2 linked regions of the Oreochromis niloticus genome follow. The protein of the gene in region 1 purifies or fractionates together with the protein of each later gene. This does not show direct contact. Links are inferred from orthologs where the notes say so. Each region holds a gene or a part of one and is shown on either strand. Other genes may lie near its edges.

What was found. Proteins that work in one complex are often made in the same cells at the same time.
Region 2: the proteins of crkl (region 1) and rapgef1b purify together in Homo sapiens (affinity purification with western blotting; 16 studies listed by BioGRID and IntAct, with this or other methods). This does not show direct contact. The link is inferred for Oreochromis niloticus from reciprocal best matches to the Homo sapiens genes CRKL and RAPGEF1.

Annotation. Positions count from the first base shown.
Region 1 is NC_031972.2:23,838,192-23,845,272, reverse strand, and holds the start of crkl (crk-like protein), read left to right. Parts: upstream 1-4,060; 5' UTR 4,061-5,070; coding exon 5,071-5,381; intron 5,382-5,765; coding exon 5,766-6,237; intron 6,238-7,081. UniProt on the Homo sapiens protein: May mediate the transduction of intracellular signals.
Region 2 is NC_031972.2:16,285,896-16,293,371, forward strand, and holds the start of rapgef1b (rap guanine nucleotide exchange factor 1b), read left to right. Parts: upstream 1-4,468; 5' UTR 4,469-4,561; coding exon 4,562-4,592; intron 4,593-7,476. UniProt on the Homo sapiens protein: Guanine nucleotide-releasing protein that binds to SH3 domain of CRK and GRB2/ASH. Transduces signals from CRK to activate RAS. Involved in cell branching and adhesion mediated by BCAR1-CRK-RAPGEF1 signaling and activation of RAP1.

The sequences.
Region 1 (7,081 bases):
TACAGATTTGCCAAAGTGTGCCAAAGTGTGCGATAATTAGATATATTAAGAAATGTATTTAAAGCTTTGATTTATTTGTTTATGTGGAGCATTACTTGTGTTTAATTAAGCCCAACCGCGGTCCTGTTTACATGGTTTATGAGTCATTTTCTGCTTCACAGGCTACATTTCCCTTTATTCCTTCTCTTTAGAAGAACCCTCACCAGCTCCTTTAGTTGCTGATTCATCCATAACATCTATATTGGACATGTATTTACAGTATAAACACTGCATAAAGTTGAACAGAATAAAATAAACAAGCCGTGGCGTGTCTTTTTATTGAACCTGCTTGTCATATGAACGCTTCACTGAAAACGAGGAAGTTAAAATAACCAAAAGCAGAATTGACCACTTGACAGGCCTGGCTACAGCAACGTCGTCAGTTGCACTAGATTAGGCTGTGGTCTCGTATTAACTCTTCACTAACTGAATGAAAAAATAATTAGTGAGAACAAAAAAGTTTAGAAAGTTAAGGTAAGACTATGAGCATGAAGTTGTCACAGGTAATGCAATGTGATATTGTAAGAAACAAGAGATAATTGTGGCTTCTTAAAGTTTTAGAAATGCTATGGGGAAGTGGCTCATTTAAAAACATTTGAACCAAAGCAACAACAAACTGAAACATGAGGAAGTAATGAAGCGGGTGAAAATGCTTTATCTGAAGCCTTTATTGTGAACCTGGTGTACCTGTAGAAATCTAGAAGTATTTCTAGAAATGTAGAATATCTATGGATATCTACCTATTTGTGTCCATTTAGTAGCATGTAAACAGGTTTACCTTTACAGAAACCTGACTGCATATTCTGGGAAACCAGGCTGAGAGGTAAAAGGTGACTCATGCCATGGAGGCTGTAACAGTGAGTCGCTCATCTATATAAACCCTTACACTGGTCTAAAAATGCACTGACTCTTTAACAGCAGCATCTCGTGCCATATTTACCAGTCTGCTGCTTGTCTGTCGTTAGTCTTCACATCAAAGCATGCTCAACTTTGAACTGAATGCCAGTGACAACAATCAGGAACGTGGTAGGATGTTAAAATAAAATATAGTAGAGGCTAAGTATTTCAAAAGTGAAGGCTGGGAGGGGGTTCGCCCACTGCCAGAAACTGCATGGATAGAGAATACAGGTATTTTATCATATATGGTAAAAACTTAACATGATCTTGTTCCTGAATGCCTGTCTGTGTGACCCTGGGCAGGATTTGTCAAGGTAATCTGTGTGTTTGTGTTCTGGCACATGAGAGCAAGGTTGCAACTCTGCTCAACAGCTTTAGTATCTATGATTTATTCGAAGTTAAAATAAAATAAAAAGCTTTTTTTAAGCAAAATTTACAGTCTCAGAGAAACTGACCTTTCCAACACAGGTCTTATCCTGCACCATGTGAACATCCTCTTCAAAACGTGATTTAGATTATAATTAACTGCAGTTTGCATCACTACACTGGAATTCCTGTCACTGTCTCACAGGATACATCACCATGAAAATAATAAATATAAGTTTAATGCACAAAGAAAAGAGCTGGAGAAAGACGCTGTGTGAAAGAGATAAAGGCACAGAAGGGTAGTGAGGGGTTGAAGTGGTTACAAGCAGAAGATGGTTTGTAAAATGTGTAAGTTTCTTATGAAGTCTTAAGTGTTAAGTCTTAAGTGGGGGAAGGGGAATTTATTTGCAGACTAACGGCCTTTACACACAATCTGACTGGCTGAAATAAAACTGTGCCGATGCTCTCTGCAGTGTCTTAGGTTGCGTCTTCTGCAGCCGAAAAATGAGCTGGGTGGAGAGGGGGCCTCTCCAGCCATAATTACTTTTCTTTTGTTGCGCCTGTGCAAAGAACAAGATCACAGGTTTTGTTCACTAGTTCCTTGTGCAACAACTCATCGACCACCGATTAGGTCAAGGGTGGTTGTGTCATCTGTGCATTTAATCTTCAGACTCCAGGGCATCAAGACTGAGCTAAAGGGAGCATCCATTCAAGGTTACTGTGTTGATGTGAGTTTAACAGAGGCTAAAAGTTTTCTAAGCTATTGCAAAACCAGTTACAGGTGGGTTTTTGGGTTGAAGAACCAGCTTTTCTAGGCTTTTCTGCGTGTGTGCTGGCCTGAAGTTATCCATTTTGGTATGGTGGGTTTTTGTAGCAGCTGGTACTTAAGAGAGCACTTGAAGGACTGTAGAACTGCTGCTTAGGTGGTCAAAAATTCACGTTTCATTACGTTTGGACCTGTAGTATCGCTTAATCTTAACCTGCCATACAGACAGACAACAGAATCTATTGATAATGGGATGATGGCAGGCATTGCCTTTTGCATACATCCACTAGATGGTGATGTTTGTGAAGAAACCTTCAGTGTGCATCTACATACAAGGTTAGACAGCAGGTCAGACAACGATACTGTATGTCTCACCCTGCAAAATCCCACAAAGCCAATCTCTTAAATGAAAAGTTGCCCTAGTTAGAAGCCAGTATGGTTCGTGCATATAATATCAGCCTTTTTACCCATAATTCTAAGTAAACTAGTCTGTTTTTTGTTTCTCTTTCCAATTAGTTGCATCACTGCATCTTTGTGGAAATGTGGGAGTTGGCAGGCTTTAGCCATTAAGTCTCGGTGGGTGCAAATCTATTAACATTCAGACAGTGTTTCAGTGATGAGAGCTGTTCTGTGCCAGCTGTAGCCTCATGAGGCACGGCCACTGAAAGCTCAGTCACCACAGGGACAGAGCTACTTCTTTACAGATCCTGCTTTTATCACTGAGTAAAACTTGTTCTGCTTGGCTGAATGGCTTGCCGCACTCTGCTTGTGTTCTCAGATGCATTCTTTCGCTTAGATTGCATTCTTCTTCTTCAGAGACACTGCCCCTTGCATTTAAATGCGCTCTCTCTCTTTCTCTCCGTCTCTCTCTCTCTCGCAGCATATTCTGTTTTGGGTTGGGTCATTCTGGGTGAGCTCCAAATCGATTTTTCACAGTTCTTTGCCAGATAATACTTATTATGAGAATGAATGAAGGGGAAGTTAAATAACACAAGGAAATGAAAATAGGGAAATAAGTACAATTTTTTACTGGTGGTATGAATTAGTTGTTGACTGAGCAAATATACTGTACCTATGGGCTGCGGTTATGTGGCTAAAAAAGTATATTAAAAACACACGAGCTGACCACTGATTTAAAGGCACAGAACACAAAAACATCCGAGACAATCACTAAACACAGTACTAACATAAGAACACGTTGTTCGGCAGACATCTGACCTTTTTTTATTCAGAACTGTAGCTTATTCTATCTGTCAATCATTTTATAGAATAATGTTTTCCATTTATAGAAAAAAAAGCTCAATTTTGATGCTCCTCTTCACACACCTACATAACTACCTGTCAAAAGTACATATATTAGCACTGTCTACTCCACAGTATCTACTTCAAAGCTGCAATGGATCGCAAAATATGCTCCACTGTTGTAGGGTAAAAGTAGTAGTTAAATTAGCCTAGCTTTAACAGAACCAGCTATGACTGTGAAACACTGCCTACACATATTTCCAATTAAGAATCAACTAATGACAGTGCAGGGATATAAACAGAAATAACACCTCGCTCTCATACACATATAGTATGTTACAGCAGCTTTTAACATCAATGTTGCCTACTTAAGACCTGACTGCTTAGCCTCTCTATTGGTTTAGCATTTATTTGAGGTTTAGCCACTCTTTAACCTGATTTAAACTGTGGTATTATATTTTTGAGTCACACGGTGAATCCCTTTTAAGTTTTGAAAAGCAAACATCCAATTAAATTACTACGTCAAAGCAGGAACACGGAGTAAAAAATACACTTGTATCTCGACATGCTCCATATTGCTATATTCACTATATTCCCGAGACGATGGAACAGCTACTTCTATCAGCAGAATGGTTCACTGAGAAATGACTGACACCTACTCTCGCAGAGCTAGGGGCTGTCCGTGGCTTCGCCAAACGCCCACCTCCTTCCTTCACTTCTCCCCCCCTCCCCTCTCTCTCGCTCCTGCCGTCAGTGACGCGCTGATAGAAAGCGGGACCTGCCCTCCCGTCGCCATTTTTCGACCTCAGTACTTCTGGTAGCCTGTGCTAGTGGGGACGAGCGGAAATAAGGGAAAGTATAAAATATAGCAATCGTTAAGCCGAGATCCCTCGTGAGCGGTCGGGGATGCACGCGACAGCTCCTGTAAACGGTCGTGGCTCCTGAGATGCACGCGCAGGAGACGAGCCGCTGCCCTGAAATCATTTTTTTGTGTGAAGACGTGTTGCGAGCCGCCATTTTTCTGCTGTGTTGCCTCAAAAGTCTGCTCCGACTCGAGAAAGGGGATTCGAAAACGCGTTTCCATGAAGTGTGTCTCGCCGTGAGCTCCGCAGGATTTCGGCTGATAGTTTCGTGACCTGCCGGGGACCTTTGTGCACAGATGAGGGATTATCGGATGTAAGAAAAAAGAAGAAGAAGGGGGGAAAAGTGAGGCCACATTTTCCGCTCTCACAACTGATACTGACTGGAGGAGATACATTTATTAGAAGAGAAGATTTGGTGTTTTCTCGGAAGGCGGAACGAAAAGGGGAAGCTTCATTGATCGTTTGCTTCTCTGGCCCTCCGTCAATGGTAGCCTGTCGTAAGTTTGCTCGTTTTTCTTCTGTTTTTTGGCCCCCTTTTAACAACTGCTCGGCCGCAGACTGGGACAACAGTATGCTCCAGAGTTGGATCAAGTCACTGGCAGCCTGCATCTGAAAGGAGGGGAAAAAAAGAAAACAAAAACGCCAGGTTGTTTTTGTTTTTCTTAAACAGATTTTTTCGGTGCCTGAGGCGTTTTGTGAAGAAATCACTCGGAAACTCCTTCCAGAGCGACGAGTGCCCTGCCCTGAGTCTTCCAAATCCTACAGTTTGCTGTGATTGGCCAATTGGAACCACGCATACAGCTTTTAACTTATTGCCTAGCCAATCCTGTAGTATTTTCCTTTCTATTATTATTAATATTAATTTGTAAGCCCACATTAACTTATTTTTGAACAGAAATGTCAACTGCTCGATTTGATTCCTCTGATCGGTCCGCCTGGTATTTTGGACCCGTGTCACGACAGGAGGCACAGAATAGGTTACAAGGACAGAGACATGGCATGTTTCTTGTTCGAGACTCGTCGACCTGCCCCGGCGACTACGTACTGTCGGTGTCGGAAAACTCCAAAGTGTCTCACTATATCATCAACTCTTTGCCCAGCAAGAGGTTCAAAATAGGGGATCAAGAGTTCGACCACCTCCCAGCTCTCCTGGAGTTCTACAAAATCCATTACTTGGACACGACCACGCTGATAGAGCCAGCCCCCAGGTAGGGAGGTCACCCACCACGCCTCCTCTAGCACTTTACCATACTATTTTTATCAGAACTAACCCAGTTTCACTTGGTTATGTCATAAAATCAGCACTATTACCACACATCTAGTTTGCTTGTTTGTTTGTTTGTTTGGGGGTTTTGTTTTTTCTTTGAAGTGTTGGTACCACTGGAAAAATAAACCTCACTCAGGATTTGTGTGGTTTTATAGCCAAACCTGATACCACATTTTGGTAATTGAGGAGTTAGGTAATCATGTTTATAAAGGATTTTATTCAACAAATAATGCAGTTTTGTTGTATTCTAGGCTTCACAGTGATGACTTTTAAGGATAACCAATTAACATTTACTTAATTTCGTCATTATTTTTAATTTTCTAAGGTATTCAAGTACACCGAGTCCTCCTGTCCAGCCCATGGTTGGAGCAGAGGAGAATCTGGAGTATGTGCGGACTCTATACGACTTCACCGGCAGCGATGCTGAGGACCTTCCCTTCAAGAAGGGGGAGATCCTTATCATCCTGGAAAAACCGGAGGAGCAGTGGTGGAGCGCCAAGAATAAAGATGGACGTGCTGGGATGATCCCTGTGCCCTACGTAGAGAAAGTGGTACGACCTTCACTCCACCCTGGCCAACCTTCTCATGGATCGCGAAACTCCAACAGCTATGGGATCCCTGAGCCCTCCAATGCTCTTGCTCATGCCTATGCCCAACCCCAGACGCCTTCTCCAATGCCCAACGCACCTGGAGCAGTTATCGCTCCGCTACCGTCCATGCAGAACGGCCCTGTCATGGCGAAAGCCATCCAGAAACGAGTGCCCTGTGCCTACGACAAGACTGCTCTTGCTCTAGAGGTATTGTATTTATTTGATCTTACCTGTTTTATTTCTTTGTTTTTGTTTTTTTTCTAGGGGATCAGTGTAATTTCATCATGTTTTAATGCACTGCTCATTTTTATAAAGGATGGATATTGTAATTAAATCGTTAACTTTTCATAAATCTGTTTAGCTGGACCTTTGATCTGTAATGCAACATCATGCAGTAAATTAATATGCCAGGTAAGGGCCTGGAGTACAACACGCTATAAGCTTCTTTGCCTAAAGCAGCAGTATTCCATCTTCAGTCATTTCTTAATTATTTTTCCATCTGCGCCCAAATAAATCAAAGATGTCTGTGTGCAGCTTAGACTTTTCTACACAAATTAGTTTATCACCTCAGTCAAGTTAAAACACTGAAAAAACTTGTGTTTTTACATTTTCACAACCTGACAGCTCTCTAGGAGCTGTCAGGTTACTTAAACATAGACAACAATCTCAAGAGGTAACTCTTATAAAAATTAGGTTGTGTGACCAAAGCTTGGAGAGGCTTCTGTGTAAAACTATCACTTCTTTTTATACTAAAACTGCAAAATTAAGTAGTAGAATGACCTGGGGAAACACCAGTCCCGCCTTCAGTTACCACAGTAGTTTTGCTGGGTTCAATGTGAGAAAGTGTCTACAGATAAGCTTCGCCTTTTCTGAGTCCTTTTGACATTCTAGCCTCTTGATGTGTGCTCACACTAAAAGACTAATAACCAAACTGTGGTTTTAGCATCTTGCTGCTTGCTCTTATCAGGCCCTTCCTGTTTGTTTGAATATAAAAAGTTATTATTACACCAGGAGACTATGTCTGTTCACAACTAGCTCTGGACACTGGCTG
Region 2 (7,476 bases), about 7.6 Mb from region 1:
AGCACTGCACCACCGCGAAGATCAAACCCCATCTCAAAGCTCTCGCTGACAGCTCTCAGCTAACAAAACTCTCCTGCCTCTCCTTTCTTTGCCCCGTCTAATGGTGAACTGCATCCAGCGCACAGCTGACCTGATCTTGCTGCAAGCCCAGAGTGGAAATTTCCCAGTGTGAACCGGTATAAAGCTTCCCACATTCATCAGAGGTATCGACCCTGAATATCTGAGCGTGGTGATGGATTAACCTGCTTGCTATTTCCAAACATCTGTCTTCATTAAGGGGAGTAGTTATAACTTTAAACAGTGGAATTAATATATTTTTTTAACTATTTGGTGACTTATTAAGATGATCATACTGATTTTTTTTAATTGCTGCCCTCAGTGAAGCTCATCAAAGAGCTTTATCATTGTATTACCAGATTCTGTGACATTTACCCGCATGTACAGCACATTACTAGAAGTGTACCACCACAGGGTCGTGAGGCTGAGCTCCAGCATACAAGAATGATCAGTGGACCAAGAGCACCACTCTGTGGCATAAAGCGGCATGACTCGTGTGCTTGGTTTACTATGCAGCCAGCAAAGGGCTGCGCTGAGGCTTAAGTGACATTTAATGAAAAAAAGTGAAAATGATATGAAAGAAAACAAAGACAAATGTGAGTCATGTGACAAAGCAGTAAGATGTAGAAGACTCCTCTAGTTATTGCTGTGTATATTTTAAAGTCTTGTCTCATTAGTAGAGCCAGCAATCAGTTGTCACTCGTGGCAGAGAGGCTTTACGCTGACTTGTGAAGCTGAAATTTCAAGCCCCAAAGTGAACGTGGTCATTAGATGAGACAGCTGCTTGGATGTTTCTGTGGGAGACTGAATGCAGGCTGTCAGGAAAACACCAAGACGCTCTAAAACAGACCAACTCTGACTGCGCTGTGAGGCCCTATCCTGCCCTGACAAGTCTGGCATTGCTTGGCAGATCATTGTCTTCCCTCTGTGACTTTATCATAGCCTCGGGGAACGTATTCCACTCCTTCCCCTCCTCCACACACACCCACACACCTCTCCCTAGCACAAACACACAAAGCAAGCACTTTGCACTTCTTATATGGGTGTGGCTTCTGCTGCGCAAGCAAGAGCACAAGGGAGCAGGCATAATGACAGCCAGTGTAAATATGAATCCTTGACACTCAAGGCCTTTCTCTGATAAGCGATTAAATCCGGTCGCTGATGAGGTGAGCGGCACCAAAGCTCAGAAGAAGCGGCCAACAGTGTGTAATGAACTCCTTATCTCAGTATTTTAATGCATGCCTCTGCGTTCACGGACGCACTGTGAGTGTATGAGCTGACCCAGATCACTCACGGAATGTAGATCACTCTGTCAGTCAGATCAATTATTCATAAAACGTTGATATGGCATGCTCGCTTCGTCTTGGTACACTCAAGACATAATCTAGATGGTTGCACTTTAATAGAGAGGATAATGTGAAGCACTAAGTGAGCAAATGCCATAGTCAGCAGTTGAAACGAGCATCAAATTAGAGCCATGCTTCCCCTTTCTTCTTCTACTCGGCCTTTAATTTTCCTGTCACATGTAGTACATGAATGGTAACAAGGAGAAAATAAGAAAAAATGTAGTTGTAGTATATGCATCTAAGCAAGGTTTTAGCATGCCCAACAGGGGGCTCTGTGCTTCCATTTAACATGTAAATGGTTCAAACTACTCTGTAATTACAAAGCAGAAGTTAATATATCCTCCCGAGAACCGAGGAACAGTGAATCTTTCCACTTTTTTTGTGATTTCCTTCCCTTTTGAAACCAAAAGACAAACACACGAAATATCAATGGAAAGCCCATGATGTCCTCTATTTGGTACATCAGGACTTATTAGGATAGGTCAAATGAGCCAAAAGATATAGACAAAAAACTAATGTCTATGACAGAGGACATAGATATTACTGAAATATTAAAATTTTCAACTACCACTTTTAAAATCACAATTCTTGCTTATTTTAAAAGAACTTTTGTGAATGCCGTTATTTACTGGCTTTTGATTGGAGATCAAATGTGGAAAAAATAACAGGTTTGCCTCTAGATACACAAACTAGAGCTGATGTGCTAAATGTTCAAACGACCAGTAGTGATTCAAAACCGCTCGAAGCATAAATCACCTCTGCTATGAAAACACTCCCCTTGTATAAAATATTTATTGGGAAAAAAAATCTAATTAAGAGTTACTCTGGCTGTTGTCCGTACCATTATCTTTTGACTTAATTGATTGGAGGATGAGATGCAGCCAAGATGTGGGTCTTGCCAGGCTGGCTTCCTGGTCAAAACACTGCACACACACACACACACACACACACACACACACACACACTGAACTCTAGGCAAGTATACTAAATGATAAGCAAAAATACAAGAAATGCTGTGCTGTGTTTTCAGAGTAAGAGCTGCCCTGAAAGTGCCTTAGAGAGGAAAAAATGTGTGCCGAAATACACTAACGTTAACTGTAACTGCTTAATACTAGAGGATATGGAAAGTAAAGACCCTACAGTGCTACAGAGAAACCCCTCCAATCAGAGACCCTGTGAGCAACCACTTGGTGACAGCGGGGAAAAAAACCCTCTTTTAACAGGACGAAATGCAAACTAGTGTATAAACAGTGAAAAGTGAGTGAAAAGACGTGTGCAAAGAAAAAAATGCAAACCAGTTACACTTCCAGAAAAAAACTGCGAAGTGTCCATGCATTTTCTAGCGCTCACACGTCTTTTTAGATAGATTCCTTCATTTAACCAGGTATTGTACTTTTAATCGTTATGTGCTTTTCAACTTTATTACAGTCGCATGTTCCAAAACATGTGAATAACATAGATATTAACAAGCAAAAGAACCAAGGCAAATGTCTGTGAGTAACGCTTTAAAACTTTAGATCCCTCGCAATCTAAAAATCTTTGGCGATGTAATCTTTTTAATTTGCTGAAACTGATTATTAACCATATATTAATTATTAATTATTATATAGAGCGCCATTGCTTTGTTTTGATGATCACACCGATCAACATCCCTGCTCTATCTTTTTGTGCAACACTTGATTTCTTCAGGAGCTTTTACTAGTTTTAAGACTTGTTCTGTCTTTTTGGCCATGATGCTGGTTTTGAACCGAGCTGCTGAAATGGCTGTTTGAAGCCTGCGGACTCCATCATTTCATTAGCCTTCTGCTGCTAAAATTGATTAGGTAAAAAAAAAAATCGCTACCGTCCAGGCTACCCTGCAATTTTTTTCCATCTACGATAGATTGATATATGGGCGAATGGATGATTGGTGAATTTCCACATTATTTTTTAATTGCATGAAAAAGACAGATGACTTAATTTATGAGTCTGTGTGCAACAGTACTTGCAAAATCAGTATGGATTACACTCGAGGCTTGCTTTAACTTTGAACTGAAATCGAAACACGCCCATGCTCTTGTTGACAGATGGCGTGGCTAATTCCTGACGCAAGGGGGCGCTGTTGCACTGGGTGATAGCCTACCCTAGCCGAGTCTCCGCTCAAGGCATTAACGTGAGCGTAGTGTGTGTGTGTGTATCCAGCGAAAATTACCCGGAGACGGACGGAGGCAGTTTATAACCGTACCAATGTCTGTGGCCTATAAATATATTATATTAACCGGGGCGGAATCATCTCGTGGACACAATATATCGAAAATGAGGGAATAATCCGAGGAGAGGCACGGCGAGGCTCGTCTGTAGCTACGGTTTTGTTGAACTGCGAGTGGGATCACAGCTGCTGGCTACGAAAATGTCGAGAAAAATAGAGAGCAAGCAAGGTAAGTCCTGCCCGGCTAGACTGAACCTCACCGCTCCACCTTCGGGATACTGTATAACGGTCTCCCTTACACGGGGCTCGGATGGATCAAATTATGGGGGTCTGTTGACCAACACATACGCCAACAAAAAAGGGGGTGCTCAAGATAAAGCTTGGATGAGTGTGTTGGGTGTAAATGGTGGTTTAATTGGGCCTCACGGATTGTTCTTTTTCTCGGCTATCCAGTTAAAATAAAGCGTCTGCTAGCTGGTAGCGGCTAATGATATTTTCATATTTTTGGTCCCGTTTTTAAACCAAAAGGTTGACTTAAGGAGAGCTGGTTAACTGACCCGTTAGTTAAAATAATACAGCTTCTCGTGCTCAAAACAGTTTAGCGAGCTAGTCCGGGGAAATAGCATTTTATTTTTTATAAAAAAAATCGTGCTGGCTTTTCTTACATGGTACTACACCGGCATTTCTCCATTCACTCTCGGCACGGGGGTCGTAAATACACCACCCCGGTTTGATTGTTTGCGAGCGTTGCTAACCATCTCGGGACAAATCTCTGAATTTCACTCAAGAGGAAACACGTGTGTTTCGCCTTTTTCCCCTTTGAAAGACGCGTAAATGAATGAATATGTGGTGTGACATTTTTCTCCTGCCTCCCAATTGGCCGTCCGCGAATATTTAAAGACGGGTTTAGCTAGCACCAGCTCAAGGTTAGCTTTTACTGGCTAAGGCTAGCTGCCTTGTTACCCCTGGAATGGGATTGCGTTCACGCGCTGGGCTGCTGGGTGTGTATTTGTGTTGATTTTCACTATTGTGCACGTGGCATTTTTTTGTTGTTGGTTTGACCCGTATTTTTATTTATTTTTTTCATTTTGTCTACTCGTGTCGCTCACTTTCTCACTTTCACTCTCACTGCGGAGCACAATCACTACGGGAGGAAACGCAGTAGTGTTGGGGTATGGATGGGATTTTGGGAAGGAAACTTTATACCCGTCAGCTACACTTGCATCCCATTCCAGCAGCTGTCTCCTTGCTTCGCTCCACATAGTGTCCTGCCCAGTGTTGCCTGCAGTAAGTGGGCGAAAAGGCGAACACACGCACACACTGAGAGCCCCCAGTAACAGGAGGGGAGGGAGTGTCATCCACCACTAGCTCAGTCATTCTTCATAGGCGTAAAAGTTTCCGATTCCTTTCGTGTCTTGCGGACAGATGACTACATATGGTCACAACTAAATGAAAAGTCAGAGGCAGTGCAAGGGTTTTGTTTTTTATTTTGTTTTCTTTTTTTGTAGACTCTTTGCTTAACTGATAACTTAAAAGCAAGTACCCAAACCATCACTTCTCCCCTGCTTCCATTCTTCCCAGTTGTGTTTACTTGTTGGTCACTTGTTGGTCTGTTATCATGTGCCCATTGATCCCAAATATGTCCCCCAAGGACACACTGTGCTGGTTGCTAGTGTAATGGAAACAGGGGAGGGCGAGACTTGAGATTCAGAACAGAAAACTGCAGCAGGCAGTGCATGAGTGTGAGAGAAAGTGTGAAAGGCTTCTTCTCTGGAGACTAGATAGAAACAGGGTGACAGTTTTAGTCGCTGGCAGTATGGTGCCTTGAGGAGCAAACACATGGACACCAAATTCACTAGCTGCATCAACATACTCCTCCGATCACCGGGGATGGTGTCACCCAGTCACTAATTTGCCCTTCTCGCAGGAAGCAAAAGTGAACCTCATGTGCGGTGGAGCCCAGGCGTGTCGCCTCTGATGAAATCAGGTTCTTGCGCTGAACCCCATTCTCTGCATACTCACTCACATGACTTCATCACTCAGGCAGCCCAAAACTGAAATCCATAAACAGATTCAGTGTGTTGCGGTGTTTGCCCCCCAAAAGAACGTAACAGCAGCCAGACAGCCGAAGCTGTTTCTTAATGCTTTTCTCAGAAGGCTTAAAAGCTTTGAGTCTGTGTGATCACATTTTGGTGTAAGCTAAAACTTGAAGATGCTGTCAGGTAGCCTGCCTTAATAATAGTACATGATGTGAGCTGAATGACTAGTTTGGTGTGCAGTGTCAGCACATATTAATAGCTCCGAGGCATCTTTTTTTTTTCTTCTCTTTTTCCTGTCTTTCAGTGCATTAAGCAATTTAAGTTTTCCGAATGTTGCTAAATGAGCTCATGATTAGTAGTATAAAGAGTTGTGGGGGTGCTGACATTGATCAAAAGTTAAAAATCCTTCTCATCCACTGCTCATCACTGGTGAACGATGTATTGTTGACAGGAATTATTTCTGGCTGGTTTTGAGAGTGCTGCACTGTGACTTGCAGACTCTGCTCAGACACTTTCTAATCCCGCAGCGTTTTATGTAGGTACCGTATGTTTACTTGTTGGATGTCATACTTTAAATGACCCACTTAGAATGATTCCACTGTTGCAGTTAAATTAAGATGTGAAACATTTAGCGCAGCAGTCCTGAAACGGGATTTGTTGTTGCCAAAATGGCCTGATTTTTGAAATGAAAGCGATACAAAATTTTAAGGAAGAAACCCCATTTAGCGTCACTTTGAAGAACCAGCCCAGAATCCACTTTTCAGGAAGATCTTCCGCATAAAAACAGAGACACATCACCTGGGATGACTTTTCCTTCATTCGATTTGTATTTCCGTTCTTGTTTTGTCTACATGTGTATGAAGCCTTCATTCACACAAACCATTCTAAAACTGCACGGGTCAATAAAAATCTGTTCTAACTGACCCGTTGCCAGGATATTTGCCCTTTGTACACTTTAAAGATTGTTATTTTGCTCAAACCTCAGAGTTCCACTGTTCTTTTCACTGGTGTCTTTTTCTAATAATAGCAGTCATAATAATAACTAGTTTTCATGCACTGTCTCAGTGACAGTACAATCAAAGGTGATGTGAGAGACAGTGCAGCTTTTCAATATCTTTTAGTATTTGTTTTTGTTTTTAGGTAAGTTAGCTACATTAATGCATTAACATTACTACTTTTTCAGCAGCAGAGAACAGCATCTGTTCTTTAGCCACTGCTTTCTTAAACACCATACCAGCTCTGGGTTGAGTTATTGTAGTCATTTGGCCAGCGTTAGTGCAAAGTTTTGTAACATGTTTCTGTGGTGTGTGTGTGTGGGTGTGTGTGTGTTGGCTAGCTGGGCTTGTTTGTCAGTGCTTAATTTAGTCATTTCAGTCTGCTAACATTAGCCTGTTAATGATATGATACAAAATACTGAGAGATGTCTTTTTTAAAAAACATTTTTATTATAATATCAGGTGATCACGACTAAGACGTGCTGTATTGCTTTTTTAGCTTGTTTGTTTTTTTTTTTTTTTAGATGAACTACAAGACTATATTTCTATCCCATGATAAGCATTTATTTCAAAAATGCACGTAGTCATTTGTGAATTAAATAAAAATTTAATAATTTAATAAAATTAATTTAAAAAAATAAAAATGAAGTAAAAAGAAGAACTGTTCTTTTATCTCCCACTCGCATCAGGCTTGGATGCTGTGCACACTTTACAGCACTAAATACACTTTAAACACACTAGAAAAGCTGCTTAAAAAAAGATCATTGAGATTTTCACAGTTGCAAAAATTTCCCTCATGCAGACTGGGGTTGTGACACGACACATTTTGGCACACCAGTGTTGGTAAAAAA